Linked DNA regions of Caenorhabditis elegans. The protein of the gene in region 2 interacts with the protein of the main gene of each other region in a pairwise test. Each region holds a gene or a part of one and is shown on either strand. Other genes may lie near its edges. The genes, in order: F43B10.1, nck-1, smim-14 and bcl-11.

What was found.
Region 1: the proteins of nck-1 (region 2) and F43B10.1 interact in a two-hybrid assay, tested with the Caenorhabditis elegans proteins (one large-scale study listed by BioGRID).
Region 3: the proteins of nck-1 (region 2) and smim-14 interact in a two-hybrid assay, tested with the Caenorhabditis elegans proteins (one large-scale study listed by BioGRID).
Region 4: the proteins of nck-1 (region 2) and bcl-11 interact in a two-hybrid assay, tested with the Caenorhabditis elegans proteins (one large-scale study listed by BioGRID).

What each region holds. Positions count from the first base shown.
Region 1 is NC_003284.9:16,650,944-16,657,598, forward strand, and holds the start of F43B10.1 (EF-hand domain-containing protein), read right to left. Parts: upstream 3,569-6,655; 5' UTR 3,541-3,568; coding exon 1,177-3,540; intron 1-1,176.
Region 2 is NC_003284.9:4,146,932-4,155,716, forward strand, and holds nck-1 (NCK (Non-Catalytic region of tyrosine Kinase) adaptor protein family), read right to left. Parts: upstream 6,513-8,785; 5' UTR 6,489-6,512; coding exon 6,372-6,488; intron 5,744-6,371; coding exon 5,612-5,743; intron 3,827-5,611; coding exon 3,749-3,826; intron 3,692-3,748; coding exon 3,377-3,691; intron 3,336-3,376; coding exon 3,165-3,335; intron 3,096-3,164; coding exon 2,910-3,095; intron 2,330-2,909; coding exon 2,135-2,329; 3' UTR 1,722-2,134; downstream 1-1,721. Other genes in the region: ZK470.2 (Growth-regulating factor), read left to right, coding at 1-87, 187-291.
Region 3 is NC_003281.10:3,466,425-3,472,665, reverse strand, and holds smim-14 (Small integral membrane protein 14), read left to right. Parts: upstream 1-2,919; 5' UTR 2,920-2,922; coding exon 2,923-2,985; intron 2,986-3,413; coding exon 3,414-3,617; intron 3,618-4,675; coding exon 4,676-4,714; 3' UTR 4,715-5,005; downstream 5,006-6,241. Other genes in the region: rsu-1 (Ras suppressor protein 1), read right to left, coding at 15-103, 570-657; pph-6 (Serine/threonine-protein phosphatase 6 catalytic subunit), read right to left, coding at 5,688-5,830.
Region 4 is NC_003283.11:6,353,385-6,362,940, reverse strand, and holds the start of bcl-11 (C2H2-type domain-containing protein), read right to left. Parts: upstream 6,917-9,556; 5' UTR 6,907-6,916; intron 6,469-6,906; 5' UTR 6,369-6,468; intron 6,320-6,368; 5' UTR 6,225-6,319; coding exon 6,198-6,224; intron 5,484-6,197; exon of another isoform or gene 5,333-5,483; coding exon of another isoform or gene 5,318-5,332; intron 5,267-5,317; coding exon 5,161-5,266; intron 5,114-5,160; coding exon 5,069-5,113; intron 4,979-5,068; exon of another isoform or gene 4,837-4,978; intron 4,551-4,836; coding exon 4,336-4,550; intron 4,206-4,335; coding exon 4,104-4,205; intron 3,797-4,103; coding exon 3,715-3,796; intron 3,656-3,714; exon of another isoform or gene 3,511-3,655; intron 3,451-3,510; exon of another isoform or gene 3,091-3,450; intron 2,864-3,090; coding exon 2,140-2,863; intron 2,089-2,139; coding exon 1,613-2,088; intron 1,563-1,612; coding exon 1,291-1,562; intron 1,241-1,290; coding exon 1,205-1,240; 3' UTR 1-1,204.

The DNA.
Region 1 (6,655 bases), about 13 Mb from region 2:
AATCGATCAGAAAGTCAAATTAGATTAACAACATCATAATTTTAACAGGATTAAATACATATTTGCTGAAAAATTAGGAGAATGTGATAAGGTCAAACTAAATAATTTATTGAGATGTTTCGAAAATTTTTATTACAAATTGGAATTAATAACGAAGATGTTGAAAGCACTTTTTATACTTTTGAAATACTCAAAATGACTTTTAAAGAATTTTGTTGCTTTTTAAAAAATGATATGGCGATTTGAAACTTAGAAACAGTTGAAATTTGAGATTACTAAGAAAAAATTGATATATTAAAAATTTATGTACGTAAATCAACAGCTGAGTTGAGAATTATTTTTCCAAAAACTTTTTTTCCAAAACAGAATCAAAGGTGAGCAATTTTCCTTTACAGACCGGACTTGAATTTTTTTTAAACATTTCAAGTATTATCATTATGCAAATTTGGTTTTTGAGATCATTTTGCGTACTTTGTAGTAATAAAAAAACATTGAAGGTGAATTGAATAACATTTTCTCGAGATAGGAAAATCAATCAAAAATCGTACTTTTCAACTACTCTATTTCGAATTTTATTAAAATTCTGGAATTCCATGACAAACAAGGCAAAGTTGAAACAATAAAATTCAGCGAAAATTGACACTTGTGTTTACACTGAATTCTTGAGAATGGACGTCATAGAAATGTGTATTCGTTTCCGAAAATGTCCAAAAACAAAGCAGAAAATTGTTGTGAAATTATTTAACAAATAATTTGAAAGTTACAATTTTAATGAAAAAAAAATTTCATTGAAATGATCACCTAAACTAAACAGAGATAAGGGAAAAACTACATTTGGAGTTATAAAAACATGTTATTTTATACTTTGGAAAGGTGCAATTCTCAGGATTGACGTAAGTATTTTTTGGTGTCTGAGAAAAAAAAACCAACTAATAGAAACAGCAATCAAAAATCGTCTCAAAATAGAGCACACGTTCTAAAAACTGTCATTTCTCTCGAAAACAAGATCCAGAATACTTTTTCATCTCCGAACACAAGCCCCGATAGTTTTTCGCGGTTGTTTGCACTATTCCCACATGATTGAAAGTACACTAACAAGATTTTGCCAAGCAAAACCCCACAGTCTCATAAGAAATTGAAGATCAGGATTTAAAAAAAGAACTAAAAAATACTCACGTTTGATTTGAAGTCGAAAATCGAATGGGTCGCAATGTCGTGTTGTTTAATTGGCTGCTGCTGATACTGTGGACGGTAGTGATTATGTTGCTCTTTCCCAAGGTAGGACTGGTGGTTTTGATGATTTTGCAGTGGTTGATGATTCTGATTCTGAACCGAATGCACTTGAATATGACGGATTGGCGGTGTCGGCGACGAGTGCTGATATGTGCTGCCCATGTCCACGTGAATGACTGGTTTGGCACGAAACACCGCGCTCCGTGGACTCATATTGCCATTGGTTTGCGGTACAGCTTTAGCGGTCGCCGCAACTGGTACATGCTCGTTGTATTTGACGGTTGTGGTCGAGAGTTGCACAACGGGAGTGCCTGGTCGTTTTTCGAATTCTGTGATCCGAGAGGCAACACTTCCGGTCGAGGGCACCGGGAAGTTCGGTCCGTTTCGATACATGGTTCGCGAAATTTGATAGCCAGGAGTATGAATTCCAGCTAAATGAAGTTGTTCTTTCACATTATGCTTCGGTTTTGGATGCGGAAGTCCTGTTGGAATCTGATACACTGAAGAGCTCTCGCTGACCTCATCTGTTGGGGATGGAGAGTGCAGCTTCCGGTGAAGTGACAAAGCAGGAGACTTAGACACCTCAATTGGTGGGGGACTAAAAGCGTGTTCACCTGTTGGAAATCTACCGCAACCTCCAACTCGTCGGTTTAGAGAATCATTGTGAACAACAGGTGCAGGTGACACGGATCCAAATGTTGTTCCGCCAAATGTATTTCCACGAACAGTTCTTGAGAGTTCATTTACAGCATTATCCAGTTCATTGAAACTTGGAATTAGGAAAGAATTTGACGGAAAAGCTGGATTCAATGGAGTTCTCGGCTTCTCGGTGTATTCGACGGATGGTTCTCTCATCAGCTCAGCTTTTCTTGCAGCAACTCCTTGACCACTGCCAACTCTCTGAGTAAACCTTTTTTCAGTGTCGATTGGTTCTTGTAACATTTGAAGTCGTTCTGCTGCTGTTAAACTTGTTGGAATTCTCTGAATTGTTGGCGAAGAAGGTCTCGAGCTGATGGTTTGACTCCAGAAATTATCCAATGCTCCGGATTTTCTTTGTTCTGGAGCTTCAGCTGCTCTTCGTTCAACCGCTCTTCCAAGAAGCGAACTATTCATTTCATAGTTACTTGAAGACTTTGAAATTGGCAGCTGTGCTCCACGTCGTGGCAAAGTCATTGACCCAGTGGTCGTAAAAGCGGATGGACTCAACAAGTCATCGCTTTCCAAATTTTGAAACCGATTCTGCAACTGTTCAAACGATTTGCTCCATTCTGATGTGCTTCGACTCATGTTGTCATCAAGGAGACGTTGAGCAATAATATCCAACTGATCCGTGTCGTGAAACACGGGTTGACGAAAACCTCCGGACGACGCACTTGAGGCGAGTGCGGGTACTCCGTTGTTGTAAAATTGATGAGATGAAGAGGAAGATGGCGGCGGCGGCGGCGGTGGATGACGATGAAACTCAGATCGATTTTCGAACGGGTGCGCCTGTTGCTGCTGCTGTTGCAATGACGACTCTCGTGGAAGTGGCAGAGGAGGACCACCAAGCGAACTTGAGTGCTGATATTGATGCGGGGTAGAGTTGTGGTATTCGCGATGAAAAGTAGAAGTTACCGGACCGTTCGAGGTGAAGGTTGTTTGCACTCTTTGTTGAGACGGATATCCGTTTCCGTTTGGAACCACGTTTTGATAAACCGAAGTTGTCGATCGAACACCGTTTGGGACTTCTTGGCGAATTGAATACTCAATTAGTGGAAAGTTAGATTCGGACGATTGATAGGTATACGATCGTGTCGGTGGAGCCCGATCCGTGTGAATTCTGTCGATATAGGCTTGCACGGCTGGTGAGTTTTGCACAGAGTGCTGTGCAGACGGGTAACGAGAGAGTAAGTCGAGAAGTGCAGAGCCACTGGCTGGCGATCTTTCGCGAAGGTGTTCCGAGAAGGAAGAGGGTACTGACAGGTTATGTGACGAGTGGTACTCTGAATGTGACGACCAGGGCGTGGTTGAAGCTGGTCTTCGTTGTTGGGACGGAAAGTTCACTTCAGCAGTACGAAGTGGTCCTTGATTCCACGGCTCTGGAATGTGATCCTCCGAGATTGTTCTCGGCTGATGTTGAAACGCTGATCTTCGATTATCGGCCGACTGCGACCGGAAACGAGTAGTTTGGGGGTCGTTTTCAGCACCAAACGTGGTTGTAGTGGCCAAACCACTGCCTCCGTACCGTAACGATTCCGATGGAAACTGCACTGACGAGGACGACGGCTGGTTGAATCTTGCGAAGTAGTCGTCGTCAAGATGGTACATTTACCCTTTGCTCTCGCAAGTACTGAAAGATGTCCGAAATTGGAAGAGAGATTAAAAGAATGGCGGGGGAAGAACAAAGAAACGAGATATTTTGCAGGACAACTGTTGAGTAGGTGGCAGCAAGTTGGAGCAAAAATGCACAAAAACATGGAAAAACGCAACAAATCAAACAAACTTGAGAGGCAGAGTGAGAGGTAACAAAGGAAAAAAGATAGGATCATAATCAAATTTAATAGAGGAAGGAGGATTGATTCATAATGAGAGGAAAAATACTACTTAAAAAATTTTTTATTTGCATTGCATTTTTTATTTATAAAATGAACTTGAACCCACTGGTAACTTAAAATAGAATTATATAATAGATCAGTATCTAGCAGGTAGCAATTAGTGGGAAAACATAGATTGAAATGAAAGTGCGAAAAAGAAGAAGAATAGGAGTGGCCTGAACCAGCAGAAACTGCAGATTGAAGTGATTAGTAATAGTAACAACTTTTCCTTTAGGAGGAGCGACATATTTTGTAAGAAGATTTGGAAAAGAAGATGTGATGAAAGAATGAACGATAGATGGTGATGATGATGAGAATTCTGAACATTAATTCTACGAAAAAGGTTGAAAGAGCTCTTAGAGCGGAGTTTTTAAGCTAAAAAACCAAAACCACTATTCAAAAATCTAGATCCTAAAAAACTAGAAAAGCGGATACGAAAAAAAGTGGGAGGATAAAAGATGAAACGATGATCAAGCGAAAAAAGACAGGTAGTAGTGAGCGAGTGCAACCAGAACGTCGGCGGTAAAAAAGAAAAAGAGACGAAGCAGCAAGAAGAGAAAATGAAAAAGCAGAAAAAGAAGAAGAAGAAGAAGCTGAATGGTCTAGAAGCCAATAAATTGCGAGCCCCTCGAGAAGACTTTCGAGGCGAAAGCGGCGACGAGCCGATAGAACACTGGTATTGTTACAGCGGGTAGACGGGGCTCCCGGCGAGAGCGAGGGAGAGAAAGAGATGGAGTATATATTTTCTCGAGGAGAGACGGAATACGTTTTTGCTTTCATTTCAGAGGTCCGTCCTTCTACACTTCGACGACCCCCGACAGCTGTCGCTAGATCGCCTGCTCTTTTTCTCTCACTCTCTCGATGTATCATTATCGGGCACTCGTCAAGTGCAATCCGTGGTCACCTAATCATCATTCCTTTTACGTTTCACTATTTTTATATTGAACGGGAGAAATATTAAAAGCGAAGTTTAGGAATGGAAGATGACGGCGGCTGAAAAATGACTGAAAAAAGGAATTGATCCTATGGAGTTCCAAAGCAAGTTTCATTTTGTTCAGTAAAAAACTTTCTGGAGGACATAGTTTATGAGACTGAGTTATCCTGGAAACAATGCAACAATCTAAAGAATAAAAGCAATCATAATCAAGAGCGAATATATTTACAAAATTTGGTACTTGTGCATTAAAACCCCGCATTTTTAAAATTAATTAAACTTCCATTTATCTTCCGATTCTGATAAAACGTGATGTTCATTTTCCCTGTTTAGGCTTAGAAATGATTAAATGTTTATAAGCCGAAAAATACAAAAACTCGACACGTTTTTATTTAAAAATTCATTTTTAATATGAGGGATTAGAATACAAGTACCTAAAATCTTATTTCAAATTTTTGCAAATTTTTGTCATTTTTTTTCAAAATTTCAGTGGAATTCTTCTTAAAAACAAATCTAGCTGAAAAAAAATTTGAAAAAATTCGATATCATTTTGTTAGGAGTTCATAGGATACATTTTCCAAATATCTAAATATTTATTAGAGAAGCAAGTATGATTTTTTGGCAGCACTCAACGATTTTTCTGTTTGGAGTTGAAATTATTGTTGAAAGATTCTCGATTTTCCAGGGTTTCTAGGATTTCAAGCAAAATCTTTCAAATAAATCTTTTTTCCAAAAAACTGACAGTCAGATTTGAATAAAATCTATCGAAGTTTGTTTCTGAAATCTAAAATCTAAATTTCATAATTTTTTTTCATTTTTTCTCCAGAAATCAACAAATTAAAAATCTTGTTCATTTTAATTTTCAGGAAAAAAATATCAAAAATGCTGCTCCGGATAGAAATTATCTTAAATGGTATCAAAAAGAAAAATTCAAAAAATTTCAATTTACTTTTTTAAAATCAAATTAAAAACGACCATTTTATAATATCCCGGCAAGTAAAGTTGAAAATTTTCAAAAAGAATTTGATACTAAGAACTAGGACTTGTTATAAATCTTTGAGAAAAAAGAATGCCACCAAAAAAAAAGAAAACAAATAATGAAAACAAGTCTAAAAGTTATGTGATTGCTACTATGATTATGATTATGTGATAGAGTAGGACAAAAGCAGGGAGAAACAGAGAAAGACGGCTCATGCTCTATATAAAGTTTATTTTGGAGCGAAGCCAAAGATAATTACACGTTTCTTTTCCTAACTCTACAAATTGAAGCCTTTTTGACCAATGATGATATCAGTGTCAATGAAAAACAGTTGTCAAGTACAAGAGGGGAAGGATATGAAATCTTTTATTTTAGGTTTTTTTCAAATTTAAATAACAATCAAGGATTTGATAACAGTGATATCATGAAATAAGTTCAAGTGTTCTAGAAATGAGCTGGGTTTACATAAACAGGTGCAAACTCGAAGTCTGACTTAATTTCCCAAAAGTTTTTGAACGCGGGAAGAAATTGGAGAAACATCAATAAAAACATCAAAATTGTTTTACAAGGAGATGCTTCTTGTTATTGAAAAAGGAAAAGCCGTATTGCACAGCGCAGATTTTATACACTCATTTTAATTTATATTTACCCTACGTTATTTTAAGAATTAAAATTATTTGAAAAAACATATTGGGAAAATATTTTTTTTCGTGTGAAACTGAACTCAAAAATTTTCAAATGCTTCATAGCCATTCTCACAGGAACTTTAGAGTACAACGGTTTCTTTTCATTATATTGATTAACTTAAAAAATGTATATAATTGCAGTTTTTGTTTTATAAAAAACTGAGAATGCACAAAATATTTGCTAACAAACTTTAGAAAAAATATATTGCTTTACAGCTAGATTTTTAATAATCGGAAACAACTTTTCACA
Region 2 (8,785 bases):
GCTCAAACCCTTTCTCAATCGTCAAGCACTGCTTCTGCTCCAGCACCAACAAGTGCGCCAGTCACAACTCCAGCTCCAGGATCAAGGGTTAGTAGTTTTGAAATTACAAAAAAATTTATGGCAACTTGGAAACTAAAAACTGGAAGCGTGTTTATGTTTCTAATATTCAAATTTCTAATATTTCAGGGAGCTGCCTTGTTCGGAGGAGTCTTCCACCGTGGATTCTTCTCGAAGCCAGTCGAGCGCACCGAAGAGGAAAACTACCGTTACTTGATGGCTCTTGATCGTTAGAAGATTCACCTATTGGATCTTTACTCTCTGCCACTTGCATCACACAAAAATCATTTTCTTCCATGTTAACCTTCCTTGTCTTATTGCCCCCCCCCCCCCCCCCCCCGCCTACTATTTTCAAAATTTCCTTCCCTTAACTTTAACTCGACCCTACCCAGATCTCCTGAGAGGGCAAAAAGAATGAGACATTACTAATGATCACTGTTCCCAATCGTCCATCCTGCATACCTAACCAGACCATCTTACCATGTGTCTCAGGTCACACCGTTGCCGTTTTGCGTTCCCCATATTGCTACTGACTTACGAGTGTGAAGAGACCCATTGGTAAAAGAGGAAATCTCTGTTTTTTTTTCTTTTTTTCTTTGTTTTGAAATATTCGTTACCCACTGTTTTAGGACGAATCCCATTTTTTTCGATTTTCCTCTTTGTGATGCTATCCACTTTAGGATAACCCGAATTATTATTACTTCGCACGGGTCTGGGGGTAGCACCAGGTATTCTTCACCTGTCATATGTATAATCCAACCGCACACCAATCACCTCATCTGCTCTTTTTATGTCTCCTTCATGTTTTGATTCTCCAATTTGAAACCAAAATAATACATATTTTATTCCCCGAACACATGCAAACTTGTCAGACATGTTCAATGTAGAAAGTGTCAGAAAATGATCAACAGCCTTTAATGACGGAGAAAACGTTGATACAAACACACGCGTAGTTACTTTTTGCCTTATGTTATAAAAAAGAAAATCTCAATTTGAGAATATTCTAAAAAAAATGTTCAGTTAGAGATAATACCAATACTTGAATTTTGAGTTAAAACTGTCGAATTGCCATATTTGCCGAACATCTAAAAAACGCTACCAACTATAAATATAAAACATTATAAAATTAATAATATAAACAATAAAACTACCACCTATTAATTTTCAATTTTTTTTGCCGATTAACAAATTAGCTTGTTTGCAAATTTACAAGTTTGCTACCACAAAATAATTTGAGATGAATTGCCAGTTTACAATTAAAACCACAATCAAATAAAAGTTATTAACCTTGTTTTCAAAAATTTAAACCGCTAGAAAAATGTTGGTAAATTTGTTTAAAAGTTTTATTTCAAAATGTGTTAATTAAAATTTTGGCAAATTTAAGAAATGTAAAGCATTTCCACAGTTTCAGACCGCTACAAAGTAAAAAATTGTTAAAAGCTTTTTTGGTCAATTTTTTAAATTATAATTGGCAAAAAAACTCCAATTTTGAATTTATGATAAATTTAAAATTTTAACAACAAAAATGTGAAGAATTTCGGATACTCTAAAAAATATTTATAAAAACCTTCAATAATGTCATGTTTCATTTCACATCCGGAAATCGCGTTGTACAAAAATTGAAACCTGAAAAATTGTAACAATTAAAAAAATCTGAAATATGCCCACTTGAAAATTCATTTACAGTTATCACATATGGCAATTGGAATTGAAAATAATATTCTGAAACAACGCAGCGTTGTGAAGTGGAGCAAAAGACAATTGAAGAAGAGATGAATGGAAAGTGTGAGTTAAGGACAATTATTTGATAAAATTACAAACTTGAATGAAAAGAAAAAGAACCAAAGAAAAAATGAGAAATATATCTGAAACCGTGATCAACCGTTCAATTTATCAAAAACGGCGGATGGCAAATCAGTAAACATATCTAAACACAGGGCTAGTGATAGAAATGACGAAAGAGATTTTCACTTGCTTTGTCCAGAAAAAAAATGGATTGCTGCAAAGAAGACAAGAAAACAACAATTGTTAAGAATGAGCTTATAAGAATATTGCATTGAAATTTTGAACAAGTAGTTTACTTGGGAAGAGGACCGGTCAAAAACAGCTTCTCCGTTGGCGACGAGAAAATTGGGCTGGTTGTGTAGTGATTGATAAGAGCATTCATGTCCACAAACGTTCGGTTTCCAATTTTCAGGAGACCATCCACGTTTTGCACTTTGAAATGCTTGTTGCGTTCGATTCCGCGCATTGAGATCGACAAGTCTCCAGGCTGAAAAAAATTGAATTTAATATTAAATGGTTGAAAATATCCATTTTTGGTATTGTCTTCCTAGCAATATTCAAATGGGATACTGTCAATGAAGATTGATTTTAATTTAGATTGTATTCTGATCAGAATGAAAGCGTATTAACTGTAATATATAGTTTGGAGTGAAAATGTTCAAATCAAACGCTAGAACGTTTTTTTTTCCTTTGCGGTCCTTGATTTTGGTAATTAATTTCGTAGTATCTCGGTCATTTGCTGCCATTTTTAAACTAATTGTAGCCTCTTGCCAGCCTTCATTCTTTTGGATTTTTTTTGCACTAAGTTTAAAATAAAACTAAATTTAACAACTTCTTAAACAACTTGAATCTCCTTATTCGTCGATTTTAGTTTTAAAACCAATATTAGCAACTTTGTGACTATACTTCACCAACTTTGGCAACTGTTTGAACAACTTTAGTATCCCACAACTTCTCAACCAACTTTTGCAACTTCTGAAATTGGCATTTCTAAAGTTGCTAGGAATGGTTGAAAGCTTGCGACTATTTGGAAAGACACCGTTTGAAAAATTCCAAAAAATGCTCACATTGCTCTCCGAATCTCTGACCAGAAACTCTCCCTCACGACCATGTAGTAGAAGATCTTCAGCACGTTCCCTCGAGATGCGTCCAAAATACCACGGCTGTTGCTCCATCGGAATTTCTCCGTTTCCTGAATATTGCGGTGCGAAATCTTGATGTGAAGCTTTGCTGGATGATGAGTCGTTGACCACCTGAAATGTTCTAATTGTTTCAGATTCGGGCAATTTTTCTCGGAATTTTTAGGCGATTAAATGCACTACCTCAATGTAATTTCTTGGCACAAGCCCTGTGGTTCCACTGGCGTTGCGCGCCATCCACCAATCGGGGTCATGTTCTGGATGATCCACGATTTCGAGCCGTTCTCCTTTTTTGAACGATAGTTCTTCAGATGATGATGCGTCGAACGAGTACAATGCAACGACGACCTGAATCTATGAAAATGATTATTAAATTGCATTGGGGTAAATCCTACTTCAAATGAAGACCGTGACGCCTGGAGCTTCGGCGGTGGTGCTTGCATCATTATGGGCGCTGGAACTGCTGCAGCTGCTGGGTTTCGGTTCTCAATGCTTCCCTGATTTCCGTTTGTCGAAGCTTCAACTTCCTCCACATAGTTTGACGGGAACCATCCGACTCCTCCATTCGGTGCTTCTCCCTTCCACCACCCATCTGTGCTTTTCTCGACGACATAAACGAAATCTCCTTTTGTGAGACCGAGCTCATCTTCAAGTCTTGGCTCGTAAGTGAATTTCACCACAGCTTTCGTTTTCGAGCTCATCATAGGAATCTGAAGAAAAAAACGTTGGCGGATTAAAATAAGTTATGATTGAAAAGCCTGTCAAACCTTATTGGATGATGGTGTCACCGCACAGTTGTTATTCAAGCTGAACGCTAGACGCGCGATGCCGTTTAATCGCTCCTCCTGAAAAATCAATTTCAACAACAAAAAAAGTACTAAAATTAGAGATTTTCGCTTAAATTGAGCTTTTTTTCAAAATTTTGAAGCGCCATAGAAATTTTAAAACCATTTTTCTCATTACGAAATTTGTTCATCTGGAGTCTAAAAAATTTCAATTTTCCAAAATTTCCAAAAAAATAAAATTTTCACTTTAAATAAATTGACTTTATAAAAAATGTAGAGTTCTAACACAAAAGAAATAGTGTATCGTTATGTGAAATCTCTTTTTTTTTTGGCTTACATTAGAAAATATACTATCCTAATCAAAAAGCCTCAAAATTCAAAAATAAAATTTTCACTTCAAATAAATTTATTTAAAAAAAATGTAGGGCTCTAACACAAGTATTAAGTTCGGCAAGTTAGAGGGACGACGCAGATGTTTATTGCAAGGAGGTCTTATGGCACGAGAAAAATCGATAAGGAAGTGCTCTTCCCGCCTAGAAAGCTCACAGTTTAATTAGAAACGTGATCTTAAACGGCGAAAAAAAAAACAAATTTGATGAAGCCGGAAATTCCAAGTTTTTTTTTGGAGGCGCTACGTGGCCAGTAGCAGCAGCACAGACTCAACCCGCTACCTTCAGTCAGAAATGCAAACAAAGTGAGCGGTTGAGCTCGTAGGCAATGTGCATGCAGCGCCCCACACATCGAAACACGATTTTGGTTAGGGGGTGAAGAGCGGGAGGGGCCCTCAGGCGATTGAAACGTATCGTCAAGACGGAAAAACATAGGAAGCGTTGAAATTTCGCGCGCTCTTGTATACCGAGACTGTCTCATTTGCGCCGAATACATTGTCGCGGGAGAGCCGTATGTATGTGTGTGTGTGTGATAACAGGGCAATGATAGTATGCGCCGCTTGCACACACATGCAAATATTAACGGTTTCGGTCATTTATTACGGAGTTTTTGCCTCACAAAGTTCAGCATATTTCGATTCGAAAATATGATTCGAAAAATTGAGCGTGCCGTTTTGATATTGAGAAGAAGAAAAGCAAAAAAAGTATTTTATGTGGAGGAAGGAAAACGCAAAAAACAGACGAACCTGTCAAAACGGCGAGGAGAACGGGAGAACGCGCGGCGAGGTCTTTTTGGACGGTCTCGAGCAATCAATAATCCTGGGAAAACAGGGGAAGAAGAGTTTGTTAGTTCAGACGATGCGCAGTATCTTACGCGCAAAACACTCAATTAGTTATTGTGGTGATGACAAAATCATTTTTTACTAGAATTTGGGCTATTATATCAATTTTTAATGGAAGCTACAATATTTAAAATAATTAACTTTAAATTTGTAAATGCTATTAGTTAGTTTCATAAAAATTGCAATAAAAAAACCGACAACGAGAAATATTCCTGCCCCAATATGACAAATCATTCTAGAAACTTTTATGGCATTACAAACGGAGCAAAAAATCGATTTTGTTTGCTGTATGATAAGGAAACAAAACTGGAATGTTCTGGGAAGAAAGTTAGTATATCAAAACTAGTTTTAATGTACCTTAAAATTAAAAGAAATAAAGTATCTGTTGGCAATTCTAATTAGAAGTTAATTCAAACTGTTGCTTTCGGCTGGAAGCGCTTGTGTAAATACAAATCTTCCACGTGAAGACTGGTTTTGGCATTTGGAAACAAAAAAAAACTGAGAGTGCGACATTACAGTCGATTATGTTTCGTTTAGTTGTGGCGGCAGTTTGGCGCTTTTTTTGGAAGTGAGATGGGTTTTTGTAACAAAAAAAAACAAAACGAAACACTCACCGGCTCCGGATCTGAGGATCGGTTGCGACCTCGCGCTAAGCCCTTGATTGTTCCTTTTGCTTTGTCCACAATTGATTCTTTTCGCACGTAGTTTGAAGGCACAAATCCAACACTGTTTGAATCGTTCATTACCTGAAGAAAACGGTTTTGATCCGAGGGAAAACAACGTTAAGTGGCTCAATTTATTTTTAAAAAAATTAAGGTTTGTAGAACACTTTTTGATTAGTAGTTTTGCTAATTGGTACCAGGATTTTTTTTTGAGATGTGGAGCAATGTCAGTGCAAGCTTTGTTTAAATGTTGCTAAAATGACCAACAATCATAATGAAACTCTTCAGAATTGTTTTTTGAAATATTTTAATGTGCAGTCAATGTGCAAAATATGGTCGACCAAAACGTTGACTGAAAATTTTGAAAAAATTATAAATTTTTCTGGATGTTTAATGAAAAGAGAAAATTGTAAATTTATATATGATGCTAAAATAACCAAATATTATAGAAAACTGTTCAAAAAATTTTGGAACATTTTTATTTCGAGTCAAAAAGTGGTGAGAACTTACTAATATGTAGATTTCCCCAAAAAGTCGTTGATTAAAATAAATTTCTCTTATTTTAATGTTCTAATTATGCTTAAAACATTAAAATTTCAATATAGCAGGGAATTGAACATGCGACAGTGTTTTAGAGTTCTCGAAAAGTGGATCAAACTGTTTTCACATTTAACCATTAGTTTCAGTATGTTTTCCGTCAATAAAAACTCACTTTCCACCAGTTTTTGCTATCATCTAACAGCTTTAACCGTTCGTTCTTTTTTATCGTCAACTCCTGTTCCTCTTGTGCTAAATAATCGTATTTGACGACCACATAGTCCTCCGACATTTCAAATGTCCGATGTAATACACCCTGTAAAGTGGTTTGGTGAGAAAAATTGCGAATCCATAGCAAAAAACCGAGGAGAACAAGTGGGAAAATGAAATGAATAGGGGATGGATACGCAACTCGTAATTGACGTCGTCTATTCTACCTCCTCACTACACCTACACCTGATAAAATCAACATTAGTGAGCGGAAAAAAGAAAAAGAAGGCGCACTGACGACGTACGCCACATTTTTCTAGGATATATCGGTCAATGTCAATCTGTTCAGAAGTCAGTTAGGCTGTTGGATGTTGGTAGGTCAAAGCGTGTCATGAACGGGTTCCGGAAAGTTTTTTTATTGATTCGAAAGTTATGAAAAATATTAAACTTATAGTTAGTATCAAAAATCTTTTTTTTTTCAGATTAGCACACAGCCGTATCAAGTATGACAAAAAAAGAAGAATGAAAAAGGTGAGATGTGAATAATAAGTAGCATAACGCGGGCAGCATTGCCTATTCAATAATACTATTTTATGGAGTTAGCAAACACATGAATATAGTCATAAAAAGTTGGCGAGGTAAGCAGGATTTTGTTAGAAGGCGTCAAGCGAGAAAATAACTGCAGTAGTTGGGCAGATGTACTTATGAGTCAGGATGCCTTTGAATTTTTCAGCAAGACGGGTGCACTTTCGAATGGCTCAATGGGAAAATGGAAATAATTCAGATGCCTGGCTTTGGCATATAATTACTTCCAGCCAAAGTACCAATAGGAAACCCCACATTTCCTCTGAAAGTGCAAAATCAGGTTTCAGGCAAATTTTATTTGCGCCTGTAAGCATTTCCAAATGGGGAAAATCACGCAAATGGGGAAAGTTTTAGTTAGGATTGTAAGGCCTTTATTGAAAATATATTGATACTTCTGGATTTAATGTTACCCCCAAAAGTGCTAAAGTTAAGTTGTTATATATTTTTCAGACCTCTTTTTCCTACAAATCTAGAATAACTTTTTTCAAGCTCTGGAAATATGATGAAAGTTTTAATTTGAAATTAATTTTTTTAGGGTCTCCTACAAACTTATATACTTATATACCGTTTTTAATTTAAATTTTGATTTTTTGATACTTGGTTGAATTATATTATAAAAGAAAATGCCTTATAATATACCTGCTTGTCGAAAAAGAATACCCATCGTAGTTCAATATGGCCTAGAATTTTTAGAATTTTTAAAATTTCAGTCAACACATTAAACTGCCACACTTAGAAAAAGAACAACAGGAGCGTTTGAATACATTTCTTACTGACGAGACTCCAAATTGTATTAAATTCCACAATTAAGTAATTTTAGAAATACAGATTTTCATATTAAAATTTTAATTTTTTGGAATTTTCCTTTTCAAACCAGAAACGTAATTGACTATGCTCCATTTTGCAAAAGAAGAAAAGAAGAAAAAAAGAAACAAAAAGCAGAGGAAAAACAACCGACAATTGTAGGCAACAATTGTTGGAAGAGCCCCATCGTTTTCTTCGTAGCACACACACACACACACACACACACACACACACACATTTTCGGACAGGACAAGAGTCAATGACAAATGATGGGAATTTTCGGTTTTGAATGGGGGCCAACAGGGGCCGAAATAATGCATTGGAATGCGGAGAAAAGAGAGAAAAGATTGAAGACGGATTGCCAAAATAATGTGCGGAAAATTTGCGAATCTGGCTCAAATCTCAGACTGGAACGACGAGATGGTTTGTGGGGGGATAGATGAAGGATTTACTTGGGAATTGAAAATAACAACAAGATGATCCTTTAAGGGACACTTAGCAATCTGGTCATCGGAGAATAAATATCTAGGGGGGCCCCCCGTCACCAACCAGCGCGGGTATTAGCAGCAGCTGAAGACGAAGAAAAGTAGAAGAAGTGGACGGAGGGACACAACAACAATAACAACGTTCAACCATTACCAATTATTCTGTCTTTTCTCTCACTTTCCCTTACTCACTCTATTCACTATTCTGTTCACATGGAAACACAGAGTCTTTTCAATTTACCAGTGAGTATGAATCATGGATGAATAAGATATCAGAAGAATGGGTGTTTGTAATACAAATAGGTGCATGTTGTTAAAAATGAAGTAGGCGCCTGTAGGAAAATTGTTAGAAGCCACTTTTGTGGTTCAAATGATTAAATATCATATAGTAATTTCGCTAAATTTTGACATATTACTTAAAAGGCGCATGCTGTGAATTTAGTGGTAGGTCTCGTTACGATCCACAAGTGCCAAATTTTACAGATTTGTTCATTTCGCGTAAGAA
Region 3 (6,241 bases), on a different chromosome or scaffold from region 2:
TAGGGTTGGCTTACCTGAAGACTGACCAAATCCGCAATATTTGGTGGTACTGAAGTGAGCTTGTTGTGGCTCAAAGTGAGACGAGTGATGATTTCCGCATCGACTGGAATTCAATTTTTGGAAGATTTCGAAAATTTATCCCGCTTAGGCTTAAGTCTGAGCCTAAGCGTAAGCCTAAGCCTAAGCGTAAGCCTAAGCCTAACATAAGCCTAAGATTGAGCCTAAGCCTAAGCCAAATCCTGAGCCAGCGCCTGCGCCTGCGCCTACGCCTAAACCTAAGTTTAACCCTCAGCCTGAGCCTAAGCCTAGGACTAAGCCTAAGATTGAGCCTAAGCTTAAGCCCAAGCCTGAACCTAAGCCTCAGCCTAAGAAGCAACACATTTATTTTGATCTACAGACCCAATGCACCGTATTTGACGCGCAAATTCTATTTACGATTTTCCCGCGGAGGAGCTGAGCACAGAGCAACAGCTGCTGCTCCGCCAGATCAATTTCTAATGCATACGAAACCATGGAATAATTGAAGATTTGCGCGTCAAATGTGGCGCAGAGCTCAAAAAAATGCTTACTGAGATGTGAAATTTGAGAAAACGACGAAATATTCCGATCGACATGCTCAACCTCTGTCACTTCGTCTTTCTTCTTGTCCTTTGGCATTTTTACCTGAAATTTTAATTTTTTACATCCTTTTTTTGTGGATAGGAAATGGTGCTTCGCGAGTTGATAAACGATAAAATCAGTGTTAAATATGACTATTTTCATACTTTGACATGGTGCATCGACACAAAAATTTGAAGAAATAGCAATTCCAAAGATCTTTTTCACTTTCTCACTTTCTAATCCTCTATTAAATATAATTGCGGAAGAACTAGCAAAAAAATGGGAAAAAAAGGAAACACAGCTGGAATACCATTCAAGGGGATTCCAACGAGATAGTACATGAACCTGTAAAGACACAGAGACATATATTTGTTGAGAGAGGGGACGAAAGACGAAAGAAAAAGAAGAAATGACAGCGAATCGTAGGCGGAATGGACGTGTGTGGGGTGAGATGGGGGGAAAAGGAAAGTGTGTACAGCGAGAGAGTATTACACTGTTGGAGAGACGCAGGGTGCTGGAGACATTTCAGTTTGCCAAGAGAACGATGAGAAGCAGTGAAAAGTTCATTGAGCGATGGGCGGAAGGAGGATCCTCCTTGAGGAGAAGGTTACATTTTTATTGATTGATTTTTTTCGGGCCCATATTGCGATCAATTCTATTTTTTGAAAGGTTTGGGTTTTGTGTGTTTTTTCTAGATTTTCCTATTTTTTAAAGATTTTAAATTTCTAAATTTTAATCTTCGGCATCAAAAAATTTTAGATATTAGATTTACACAAATTTTTTTTTCCTTTTTTCTTATTTTTAATCTAAAAAAACAAATTTTTTCTTCAAAATGTTCGTCTTTTGGTACACCTCTAAAGGGGCACAAGTAAAATCTAAGTGATGGGTCTCGCAACGAACTACTACTAATTTTAAGTTCTTGAGGCGCGCCTTTAAGGTTACTGAAGGCAGCATTTATTGATTTTTAATTATTTTTAATCATTTTGTCTTAAGATGGCAAAAAGCGATAAGAAAAAATTCAGTAGAAAGAGAGAAAAAGGTAAACATTTCGATTGTCTCGTCGTCTTTTTTTTTTGCTTCATTTTCTCTCTTTTTTCACTTTTTAGTTTAAAAAAGCAAAAAAAAAAATTAATTTCCTTCCGTTCAGTGCCCATAAATCCGTTTATGAAACGTCATCAATATCTCTAAGCCCTCTTTTCTCTCTCACAGTATTCCAAATAAACAAAAAAAGATGTCTCTTCCTCCCTGCCAACCAACAGCCAACGTCAGTTTTTAAAATGAAATTTTTTTTTTCTAAAAATTGGCCAAAAAACCGATTTTTAGACTGAAAAAAGGCTTTAATGTCCAAAAATAATCAAAATTATCGATTTTCGACACGCTCGTAAATTAATTAGTCTTGTCAGTTGTCGTCAATTATAATGAATTACATCCCCGAGAAAAAGTAGATCAAAGACCGGTTTATCCCTCCCGACAGATACGGAATGTGTGTCCGCTTCCGATCAAAAGGTTCTCTTTTTCTTATTTTGTAGTCTGTGTGGAGGATACACTTGGTGATTAATTATTATTTATCGGCCTAAAAAATGGTTTTATATTTTTATAATACCCAGACGTGAAATTTTGCGATTTTTGCGCCCCGGGGCTCGACACGACAATTTTCTTATTAATTGCAAAAAAGGTGTACGCCTTTAAAGAGAATTTTCAACAATTTTAATTTTTTTTTTAAATAAAAATATATTTATTTAATGAAATCGAATAAATTTTTAACAATTCGTGACAAAAACTACAAAAAAATCTATGAAAATTCCGTAACTACAACAAAAGTTCAAAATTACAGTACTCTTTAAAGGCACACATTTAAAGTCACATGTATTTGAGAGAAATGTGTCGTGTCGAGACCCTGGTACCGGTACCGTAATCGCAAAATTGGGTAATAATGCTCAAAAATTTTTCAACTCTTCAGCAACATTTTTTGGTAATTTTTTAGAGAAAAAACACAATTTAGGCTAAAATCCGGAAACAACAAAAAACTGGCCGAAATTCTAATTTCACCATTTTTTGCTCTGAAAGCATTATTTTTTCACTTCTTCAAGTCATTAAATTCATGAAAAATGTGCATGGTTTCCCATCACAACCCGTCGTCTCCCAGCTGATTTTTTGTCTGTTTTCTCTCGCAATCTCTCCCCATTGAGCAATATTTTTGTAAGGCAACGTTGCATTGCCCACTTTTTTTTATTTTTTATTATATTTTCCCGTCCACGTTCTCTGTTCGTTTCATTTCTCGATTCTGTGAAGTTCAACGACGGAAACTCGCAATTTCAGAGAATGAGTGATCCGTGTGAATGTTTCTTCGATCATGAATCTGCTATGCAAAGACTTTTGGCTATGGTAAGGGAAATAATTATGGAAATATTCGGGGTTTAGCGCGAAATTTGCCAATACAATTTAAAAAAAACAAATTTTCGGCTCTCGACTCGATAAATTTGATATGAAATGCTAAAAGGTGTGCGCATTTAAAGAGTACTGTAGTTTCAAACGTTTTTCTGTTTTTATCGCTTTCTTCTGGTTCAAAAAATTATTATATTTTTGTCGAAAAACTACTAAAAATCTATGAAAATTCCGCAGCAACTAAACTTTGAAACTACAGTACCCTTTAAAGGCGCACGCCTTTTTCGCAGTTAACAAAAAAATAAAAAATTGTCGTGTCGAGACCCCGACGCACAAAATCACAACATATCGTATCTGAATACCCATTGCAAATCGTCATAAAACTCCAAAAAAAAAAAATGTTTTTGAAAAAAATCAAAATTTTGCAGCTCCGAAACTCGCAAGCGGACTGCACAGATACGGGTTGCGACAATGATGGTTTGAGTCGTGAAGGTGGCAATACAATGATGATGTGGACACTTTTATGGACATTTATGGCAATGGCACTTTACGTGATGAGACCCAATTCAATGAGATCTGATAGAAGAACCGCCGATGATGCAGCAATTGAAAAACCAACTGGAAGTTCTGATGTTAGTATTGTCAAGTTCGGATTTATCACAAGAGCGCAGAAAACCCGCTCCACGGCCAATTTTGGGTCTCGCCACGAAAAATTAAAATTTCGGGTGTGCGCCTTTAAAGTACTACGGTACTTTTTGCACAAGTATCTTAATTTTATTGTATTAGAGAGACGCAGAAAAAATCACCTGTGAAATCGATGTGAAAACACGCTCCACGGCTAAACGTAAAAGCTCCGCTCCCCAACAGTTGGGTCTCGTTAGGAATTTGGCGGGAAAACCGGATTTTCAAATTTTCAAGCAGTTTTCGTTGTTTTTAATGTATTCTCTATCCCAAATCGAAAAAAAAACAATAATTTCGGCATAAAAATCAGCGAAATTCCCAGTTTTTCCGCCAAATTCCTAACGAGACCCAACTGTTTGGGGGCGGAGCGTTTTCAATTGGCAGTGGAGCGCGTTTCTGCGTCTCTAATCTTTTTTTTTTGTGCCCGCCCGGCAATACATTGACCGGTCAATCAGTTATCAGAGACGCGAAAAAAGAAATCATCACCGGGTTTTATAGGTGTTTGTCCTACAGTCTAACTTGAATTTTTGAAAAAAAAAATTAAAAATTTTTTAGGGGATATGGAATACCCAGTTCCTTATTTTGGACTTTATTGCTAAATTGAAAAAAAAACAATTTAAAAATATTCCCTGGAATTTTTGTTTATTTTTTTAGTATTACGTGAACGCAAAATTCAGAGAATACGTATTGCACACCATATTTCACGCGCAAAATATCTCATAGCGAAAACTACAGTAGTCGTTAAAAGGATTACTGTAGTTTTCGCTACGAGATATTTTGAGCGTCAGAACTTTGTGTTTACGCAATATCAACAAAAAAAAACTAGAAAACTTTCAATTTTGGTTCATACGATAGTTTTTTTTTGTTGAAAAAATCGAAAAAAAAAAAACAAAATTTATCGATTTTCAGATTTTTAAATATAAAATTAAACTATTTCAAATTTTAAAATGTTCTAAACTTCTCCTCGGGGAGTACGCGTCCTATAAAATTTTAAAATTCCAATTTCCAGGACAACACGCCACCACCTCCACCGCCATCTGCAATGTAAATCTGAAATCCTCTACCGTCCGTCTTCTGTAACACTCTCCTCTGCCACCAACCATTCCTGTGTATAAATTGAAAAAATCCAGTTTTATTTTTGCAACTGGAATCCTCTGGGTCCTCCTCTTCTATTCATTCATATGCTTTTAATTTTCTCTCCCCTGTGCTTTGGGTATCACAATTTTCGTCTCTCTTTTTTTTTGTCAAATTTTCTGTGAAAATCGCCTACTACTAGTCCCTACCAATTTCTTGTACATTTCCGTCTCTCTGGGAATATGAATGAAGATTCGAGATTATTCGAGAGAGATAATTGTTCACACATTAAAATTAAATTAAGGAATGAGAGAAAGAGAAAGGGGGAACACGACGGAAAAAAGTGAACAGGAGCTGAAAGAAGGAAAAACATGAGAATAAAGTGAAAAATCAGAGAGAGAATACACACAAAATGGGGGAAAATGAAGATCAAGTACACGAGGAACCGAGGCTTTTATAGGGGGTCCACTCCAGACAAAAAACATTAAAATTCAAGATGGAATAGCGTGAATTTGCTTTGAAATAGCAAAAAATGATGAAAATTGACAAAAAAACGATAAAAACCCGGAAAAAATTCAGAAATAATGAAAAATTCATGTTTTTTGCTCAACTTTTGACAAATTTCCCCGGTCATTGGTCGAAAAATGGGCGAAGCTAATCGCTAATTGGTCGAAAAAAAGAATTAACAAGCCTCTGATTGCAGGACCAATCAGCGATTTGCTCCGCCCTTTTTTGACCAATCAGGGGAAAATGTCAAATTTTACGGGAAATTAGCTTGAATTTTATTGTTTTTTGTGGGATTTTTTTGGAATTTCAATTATTTTGGCAGGTTTTTTTTTGGGTTTTTTAAAAAGCGATTTACACTATTCCACCATAAATTTTAAAGAATAATTAAATTATGTAGCTGTGGCGGAAATAGAAATAGGCAGGCAGGTGTGAGGTAATATTTAGAGGAAATACGGAGCAACGACACGATCCGGCTTCTCACGGCTTCCATCGGGAACTGCGTTGAAATATTTCGTCGAGCGATTGTTTCCGTCGATTTCGAATACGGCCGCCGCGTTTCCGCATCGATAGCAGTAGTTTGGAGCTGCAATTTATCCATTTATTTGAAATTTCTTTTTGTAATAACTTTTAAAGCAATTTCAGTTTTTTCAGTTAAAAGTGTTTTATTTTCTTTTTTCTGTTTTTAAATTTTTATCGTTTCCTTTAATCCTTTTTTTTACAGTTTTTTTAAAATCAGTTTCTTTTAGTTTTTTAATAATTTTTTTAGCAATTTCAGTTTTTTTCAGTTGAAAAATAGTTTTTTCTTCTCTTTTTTCAGTTTATTTGAGGTATTTTTCAGTTTTCAAGAAAATTTCCAGCTTGTGCGATTAAAAAAATTTCAGTTTCCAAGTTTTTAAGTTTTTCAGTTTTTTTTCAGTTTTTAATGAAAAAACATTAAAACTTTTTTTCGGAAAAAAGGAGAAATTCTTAAAACCGAGAAAATTTTGTTTTTCGA
Region 4 (9,556 bases), on a different chromosome or scaffold from region 2:
AAGGGAGAAAAGAGGGAAGAAAATAGCTTCACAAGTTTTAAAGTACACCAGCTAACCGAAGAAAGAAAAATTGAATGAAATATGGTTCCTTTATGAAAATCTCTTCGAAAAGGAAGATAGTTAACACAAAGATGGTCCATCTAGACAAAAAAGCAGGATCAGCGACTAAAATGAAAAACAACTAGAATATTAAGAGGTTGGTAGAGAATGAGAAAGCAATAAAATAAGGGAATAAATGAAGGTATGGACGTATTTATATATATATGTATGTATAATAAATGGTACAAGGGGGCTATCAGTCGGACTAAAAATACTACTTCCATGGGAGAACTAGGTCACGGGACAAATTGGGGGAAAGGGACAGGGTCTGTACAACAAAATCACCGGGGGTATCTGCGAAAGAGTAATGGTTGCCTGGGCGACGCCAGAAAAGATTAAATGAATAATTATCGAATATAGCAGTGAATGGTAGCAGAAAGACGATTGAATTGGAGTTTAGGGGTTCAGAAGATGGAGATGCCGATTGATGGATTATTAGAAAAAAAGAAGAAAGAGAGGAACAATTCACTGCAATTGAAAGTTGAAGGAGAGCGAGATTAAAGCTGGATGTTAATCAGTTGGATTGAGGAAGGCTTGGCTAGATAATCAGTGACTGACTGGAAAACTGGGAGGAAGGGATCACAATCTATTGGGGGGAGCTGAAAGTGTGTGTAGGTTCTAAAAGAAACTAAAGGAATTTTGAGTTTGGATTGTTGGATGAAAGTTTACATCAATCTAGAGACTCACTAAGGATGAAAGAAAAAGACGTGTAAAGGCTATTTTGCATGTTGTTTGTTGAAAGTCCTATGGGGGTTACAAAAAAGGCTTTAGAAACCAATGAATACACTAAACCAAGTGATTAAATCTTAAGTAAACAAGGGATAGGGATATAGTGAGTGCGTTTTGGCACCGGGAAAAAACGGACAACTAAACAAGGCGAGAAAAGGGAACTGGGTCACTGGGTGAAATATGGAAAGAAAATACACACACACGGGACGACAACACAAGCACAACACTGAACATTTGAGGCGAAAAAGAACGAAATGCTAGATGGAAACGAGCGACTAGAAGACGAGTTGTAGGGTATTTTGAAAGATTGAAAGGTAGGTGGATTGAGAGAGAAATATTAAATGACTGGCTAGAAATGACTGATGATACTGGATGATTAGTTAGCAACCGTAGCAATTTGATTTGATTCACTCTGAAATTATTGTATTAGTTTGAGGTTTAAATTACTCCTACGAGACGTACTGTTAACGGTTGGTGTGACTGCAAATCGCTGGCTTCTGTCTCTTCCATATCCTCATCAGCCTCAATCATATCTTCTTTCGATGTTGCTGTAGGCGTACTGTTGCTTGCATTGAGAGCATGAAGCCAGTTCAGGACAATTTGATGGCTTTGGCTCTGATTCTGGCCCACTGTGCTAGCTTGAGGTTGTGGAGGGACTGAAATTGATGGTGCTGAAAGAGCCAAAAGCGACGTTGCCTCGGCAAGTGCTGAAGGTGTTGGACGAATTGATCGCTCTGAAAATGTATTGTTGAATTCTTTGAAAATAATTCAGGAACTATTGTACCTGGTGGAGAACCTCCTTCACGACGACCTTGAGTACTAACTACACACTTTCTCATATGCTTTTCCAATGTAGAATGAACTGAGAAAGGCATTCGGCAGATGTAGCAGTGATATGTCTCTTTCCCCTGTTGCCCATGCGTTCTCATGTGACGAGTCAGTTTACTGCTTTGTGCACATGCATATGGACAAAGTTGACACTTGTAAGGCTTCTCTCCAGTATGCGATCGGAGATGGACGATCAGGTTTGATCGATTCGTGAACACCTTATTGCAAAAATTGCATCTCTCCTTCTTGATGTTATTTGGCTTGCGAGCAGCTGGCTCAGCAAGCTCACCATCATCGACAACGATCAGTTGATCTTCTTCTTCAATTTTCATACTTTTTCGTGGAGGTGTCAACTCTTCTTCCGGTGAAGCACGTCGTCTGATTGCAACTGATGCAGGTCGTGGAGTGTATGAGGACTCATCAGCGGTACTTCTAAATCGGGTAAATGTTATTTTTAGTTCATCAATTATGATTCAAACTTACAATCTGTTCAAACTCTGAAACAAAGGTGTCGGTGCGGGTGGTTGTGGAGTTGCGACCTGAGGTTGAGCGGCGATCAGATTTTGTTGCTGTTGTTGCAGCTGTTGTTGTTGTTGCTGTTGTTGTTGAAGGTTGTTTGAAATATTCAACAAAGCAACCGCAGTACTATTTGTCATTGGATATGGCATCTGTTGAATTGATGCATAATATTCCTGCATAGCAGCTAGCATTGATGGCTGCATCCAGACATTTGGCATAGATCCAGAAGTTTGGAAGCCTGCCGAGCTGGAGACTGTTGGGAGTTGCGGTTGAGAAGCTCTAGAATTGAGAAGAGACGTTGAGGTAAACGCTGAGACTTGTTCTTCCTCGGTTTCCTCACTTGGCATCAACCTTCTAAGCGCCATCAGTGGTTTCTGATCTTGTTCTCCAGCTCTTGTGACAATCTCTTTCAGCCGTTCTGAGCAAAAACTATTCATCATTGTTGATTCAGACTTTATGGTTTGATGCATGATTTTGGATGAGGTGTCATTATGGTTGTATCTTGAAGACATGTGCATTGACTCATTTGATGTTGGAGAAGATGTTGAAGTAACCGAAACATCCGACTCTGGGATTGCTTCTTGGCATACTCGCAGGCCATGGATGTCGTAGCTGTGTTTCAAAAGTGTCCAAACATCTCCAAATCGTTCTTTACAATTGCAACATGTGAGTGACTTCGAAGAGCTCCCTGTAATTAGTATATATCTTTGCAAAACTTAGCAATGGCAGTTGGATAAACTTAGATTACTCATTGTGTGGCTATTTCGGAAATACGCGGTCAGTCTGTGGACTCCACTTATTGCCATTACTTCTTCTCTAGAGTTGTTTACACTAAAACTTAATTTCTCGGAAAGTAGTTATATACTGTTCACTTTTTTCTGCATTGTTGAATGGTCTTTTTCGGTCACACGGGCGCCGATATGACGTGGTGGCAACATCAACATGTAGCACAAGTAACCTGACCCCTGAGCGCCGAGCCAACGACCGGTCTTTGACGACCTTCTTCTATTCATTGATGCTCTATTCAAACACATTCTCTCCCCCTTCGGCTCCCAGTTTCACGTACGAGAAAAAGAAAGGCGCCGAGTTTCAAGAGTCTATCTCGCAGTGAGTTGGTGCGTTGCGTTGCGCAGCGCCCTGTCTCAACCCACAAAATTCTTCTCAAATTGCTGGTCAAAACTGGTCCACTCGTTGGTACATAGGCAAACTTCGTCTCTCTGATCTCAGTTATCTATGCAAACGTGGTAACTCTGTGTCTCTTCACGCACACACAGTCTTGTGGATCACCCTACAACAACTCACCGCCAAGAAAAAGTCGGTGCCCTGCGGTAAACAACGGGGGATGGATGGCAAAATGTGAAAAAAATTTCAAGTACCGTAACCCTCTGGACAAACAAAAACTGAAAGTAGAGTTGGAAGTTACCTACTCAAAGCGCCTACTACAAAAGGGCTCCGACTTAAAGTCCGGGAAGTGCATGTACTAGAAGGACGTTCAAACATTTGCGGGCTCTTTGCACAATGATCAGTTGACCAACTCACCTAAGTCATTTGTGTCCGTAGTTACGTCCATGTTGTAGTTGGGAAGAAGAGCATTTGCTGATGTTGAACGACCACATCTGATCTGAAAATATTCCGAATTTCTATGCATTCCCTCTTCAAAAAAATATTGTTGATGGCATTGGCGCTGAGTTTTCTGCAGTTCACCTGTGGGTCTCTCTATTTGCACAGGTACTACTATCTTCTATGGAGAATTTCAGAGCCACTCTCTCTCTGCCCCGTCCGACAGTTTTTCAATGTCCAGAACAAACAAAAAAGACGTGGAATAGAGGGGACTAACTCTCTTGGTCATGGGGTTGCGGGCGCCAGAGGTCTGTGGGGCTAAGGCTCTTTAGGTAAATATTGGTCAAAATAGTTTTCCATCAACTCACCAGCGCCGCCGGGTTGAAGGTTCTTCGTCTTGATCGGTCGAAGTTGCGTGGTGTCACTTCACAATCATCCGATGGGGTCAGCTTTCCGCCGCAGTTTGACACCTGAATTGAAACAATATAAATGACATCACTAGATATTGAAAGTCTTTGAAGCTTTCTTCATTTTAAAAGATGATGCCATTGTGATTTTGATTCACAGTGACATTAGGTCTCACAAAGTAAAAAGACTTACTTTGTGTTCGATGAAATTTGAAAAGCAGCTCAGTGAGAAACTTGTATGACATTCTCCACATACTACAATATCCGTCCGGTCAAGTTCTGGTCTGGGCGAATCTGCTCCGTCATGGGACATCGGAGAATCCGATGCTTTCAATTCACTCAAGTCATGCTCAACTGTTGATTCGACACCAGAAACCCCCGAATCCGATGAGGCCATCTGAGAGTTACCTGAAAGAAAATGAAATGTTTGTGCTCACGAAAAATTACTCAAATATTGCAAAGCTTTCTCCAACTCTTCAAGACTAGATTTTTGCGATGTGATGATCATGATGGTCTACAACTGTTGGCAAAGTTGGATGGAGGCAAAAAAAAACTAGGTCGTGTCATATGTCAACTTTGTCTACATAACTCTTTGCCATTCCCTTTCTTGACAGTTTTTTTCTGTTATAGTATGTGTTTTTTTGTGTGTGTGTGGAAATGAACATTCACCGTGTTGCCAATGGCGCACTTTGTGGTTTTTTGTGAGAATATTTGCATTGTCGTCGATCTGATCAAATGTTTGCGGTCGCTTTCCGCGCGGAAGACACATTTTGGCGCAAGCGCCGCGTGTGACGTAACACGTGTGATCAAACGTCCAGTCATTGATATGATGATCAAATCAACTAGGTGCGGCATGGGAAGGAACGATTGTGCATTGCGAAAATATTGGGAAACGCGAAAATTCAATAGAAGAAGGGAAAACTTACTGGTTAAAAATGTGGTGAGACGTTTCTTCAAATCAAGACGATAGTCTGAAAAATATACAAATTACGGAAGGCATGAGAAAATGGACACAAACCACTTTTATCGTCACTACTGCTTGTGGCTGTCGGCTCCTCAGCTCCGCTATCAACTTCACTGTTCGCCTTCCTCCGCCGACGCCCCGCCGAAGACGTTTCTATTGTCTGAAAGTACAAGAGATCGTAAATTGGAATCTGATAGTAATTTTGCTTTACCGGTAGATGTAGCATAATTTTTGTCAGATAATATTTTCAGATTTAGGCCACACTGTTTTCAAATTGAGAATATCAAATGTTTCAAGGGTCACTTGGATTTCAAAATTATTGAATGTAAGGTGGGTCGCAGAAGTTTGCGTGGAAAATGAGCTCTCGTCGCAGGTGAGAGAGAGCATATGACTTGGCAGAGGGGCGTAGCGCCGGGGCGCGAGGTTACAGTGTATGTGTACAGTACTCGGGGGCATCAGAGACACAATATAACTAGAGCAAATACTCTTTTGCCAGGAGAAGGCCGATTGGTCGAGACTTGGAAAGAACGACTGGGGAGACACGTTTTTTTGTTGGTTGAACATTTAGAATTTGGCCGTTCATTCACTTTGACCTGCCTTTTGTCAGAGATGAGGAGTCGGCACAAAAAAGTAACGAAAAGTTAGTGAGTCATTTCAAAATTTAAGATTAAGAAATACAAGTCTTCAATACAGATTTAAATAATTTTCAAAAAGTAAGCTAGAGTAAAACTGGGCTGTAAATAATTTTTAAACTCACTTTGATAATTCTGGAACTGAGCAAAAGCTCATTAGTGTAAAGCATGTTTCGAAATATTTCAGAAATTTTGAAAAAATGATAACTGACAATGGACCAAGTTGTGTGTCCAAAAACGGACGCCCCTTTGTCATTGTGTCCTTCCAGACTGTCACGCTGATAACAAAAGTTTATCGGCCCCGCCCCTCAAAACCTAGGAACAAAAGAATAGGTTTTTGCAAAAAGGACGAAAGGCTGGAAGTTGAGTTTGTCACGCGGCTCTCGAACTGATAAGGATTTACTGCTCTTAGAGATTTGAACCTCAATGCCGACACAGAAACTTGAATCCCAAAATTACCTGTGATTTTGAACGTCCACTACTCATGTGAAGTCGCTCTTTCACTTTCAACCGGGAAATTTTGTGTAAAAGCGCTGCCCACTAAATATGGTTTGGTATCCAATAACTGAAGTTAGATGATCCTGAAATCACTTTGGTTATAGACTTTTCATTACTTTGGCTCAAACTTACTTTATTGTCAAGACACATAAAACATCAATTTTTAAATTTTCGAAACACGCAGGAATATGTGCTGCCGCGCGTAACGTAGAGCTGGAGGTTAGGGTACACTGTAATGAAGAAAATTAATAAAATAAGATACTAAACAAAAGTCGGAGAAGAGAAAAAAAGAGAAAAGAGAACGGCCGAACAACGAGAAGAAGCACAAAAAGAAACATTGACAGCAACTGTCGGCGTTGTTATCAAAGGGTATTGATTGCGTAATGCCTAGTGCTCCAGGCATCAAAAAATCAGAAAGAAAGACAACGTAGTAAAAAATGGTCACTACTGATAAGGTATATGGCGTCCGGCGCCAGAGACAATGGAAAATTTCCCAAAATTTCAGAGCACATGATGCTAAAAATAGAACCGCCGATGCTAAAAGCGGTATCATATGTTTCTTTTTTTAGGTGTTGATCTGGAAACCGATGGACATGCGAAAGACAATAGAAATAACTGTTGATAAGAGGCAAAAAACGAAGTGTGGAATTACGAAAGGCGAAAAAACTGAAACTTGGGGTCGAAAGTTTGGGATGCAAATTGTAAATTGGAAAGGCAAGGGAGCAACATCGGAAAAGAAGAAGTTGAAGAACTAGAAAAATTAATTTAAAAAAATACAAATTTCAGCTAAAGTTTCGAAAAAAAGAGAACAGAAGATAAACTGAAGAGTTGGAGTGAAAGAAGAGAAGCTGCCGGCCACCCACCGCGTCCTTTTTTGCCGGACAATATGAGGCGGTGTGGGAGCGTAAGCCCTAGGGTGTCTGTGGCAAAAAAGTGCAAGTACTCATGTCTCGTTGAAACATGCTGGCGCCGCGGTACACAGTGGGCAGACGATCCGCGCGCGCGGAAGGATCCGCCCATTTCCGTGTGACGTCGAGCTAAGAGCATACATTGCAATAAAAAAATGCGTGATGCCAGAGGAATCATCGGCGGGGTTTCATTCTGTCCCCTCTTGGCAGCACACACGGAAAGTGACGCGAAAAGCTGCGCAAACAGTTCTCTCCGTTTCCGCGCCCACCTTGATCTGGAAGTGTAGAAATGTGTGCGCTTCCAGAAGACACAGAGAGAAGGAAAGTGATCGGAGACGACGGAAGGGCCTCACGCACACACGCACACACACACACATACACAAGCCACACAGTCACTTTTTATTATTTCGCTTTTATATTCAAAAAGCGGAGCAGAGAGAAGACTAGAGAACGTGAGTTGCAGACTGCGAGACGCGAAGAACGGTTTCATGGCGCTGGGCGCCGCTGAAAACGGGGAAGAAAGATGCACATGTGAGGGGGAGAAAGAAGACAGTAACAATGTATACAAGAGTTCTGGAACTGCTGAGAAATAGTGTGCCACGTCACATGTGACCAACAAAAGAACTGTCAAAGAAGACGTGAGAGGAGATACTCTTACCTAGGAAAATGGGCGCAGAAAACAAAGTAGATCGAGAGACAGTGAAACATGTGGGGGGATTCTCTCATTCTGTCTAAAAAGTTTTTGGGCGAGGGACACATACACACAATTCACTCACAAATACACCTGAGATTCCATTCAAAATTCAGGTCGTCGTGGTCTCTCTCTCTGTCCCTCTCTATCTATTCTCGAGAGATAGAAGACCGGAGACGGCCATCACAATACGGTCATTTTTGGTCATCTTGACCGTAACTGGTATTTTACACAGGTCGAGGTTTCTATGTGATTGTATGTTATTTCTTCTCGATGGTCATGGAACGGGAACGGAAATATTATTTCTTTAGGTTTTCTGTTTGAGGACCCTTTCCAAAGTTATGAACCCACTGGCGAGGCTGGCTTAGGCGGTTCGTGCACCTGCTACAGTTCAAAGCATAATTTTGCAAGATTCCGAGTTCAGTGTAACATGAGGATCAAAAACCCAAAAAAATGGCCAGACACAGTGGGAGAGCCCTGCGCCCTGCTCGTACACGTGGACGCCACTCTAATCTTTCGCGCCCTCACTTTTCCGCGCGGAAGAGCACAATATTTGTATGCACACAAGTTGCGCAATAGATGCCAGGCAGCGACTGGTCATTGGCTTTTGACGTACAGGGGGCAGGTTACGCGAAGAAACATCAACGAAAGGGAGGACGGGATAAGGGATGAGATTGAATAAGTGAAGACGTTAAGCGAAAGCAGTGAAAGCGTCATCTTGCGCAATGCATCACCTAGCGAAAGCAAAGCTTCTCCCCGTCTCTCTGATCCACACACTCTCTCAAGCTGCCCAGATCAGGTCCGGTGGAAGAGGGATGCCAGAAGTGGCGCGGCGGTCTCTCTATCATGTACTATTGACGAACCGGTGGATTACAGTATACCCACCACCAAAAAAGAGATGTTTGTGATATAGTGGTGGTGGAGGTGGCAGGTTGTGTCAACGGTGAAAAATAGTTGTAAAATTAAGCAATGAGGAGGATAGAAGATGGTGGAAAAGTATTGGCTAGAATATATGGAAACAATCAGAAAAGATGAATGTAACTTTTAAAAAAGTCTAGGAATATTCACATACAGAAGTTCACTTTAAAATGACGTAAACAGAAAGTATTTTAAGAAAGTTTTCTCAAATGAGAGAGGCAAAAATAAATTAGAACAAAACAAAAATTGAAATTAACATTTCAACACCTAAATTGTAATAGAGTTTGAGTAGAACGAATACGATAGGATATAAAGATATAATGCACCCAGACTAACAGAACGTCCAAGTGAAAATAGGAATAGGAGGAGAAAACATGCACCGCCAGGACACCTCACGAAGCTTGTGCAGAATACAGGATGCAACTGGCAGAGGCACCGACCGATCAGGAAGGCGTTTGCCTCACGTCACCAGGAAAACCTCAACATCCATCTCATCCGATGGGCAGAGAAAGTGAAGTGAGGATTGGCGGAAAGTGAATGGGACACACAGGAAAAAAATGAAAGCGAAGGGAAGAGGAGGGAGGAGGATGATGGGTGGGACGGCGACGATACATATCGCGACAGTAACAAACGAAGGATTACGCAAGCGACGACGATGGCAGTGAGGCAAAAGTGGATGGCCATAGGAGCGAAATCTAGAACTAGATGGTGATGAGGCACACCACACATGCAGCAGGAGACTGGTCGGCATTCGATGAGAGAGGAAGCATAAGAAGGAAGATGTATATGTGGACGGTAGAAAA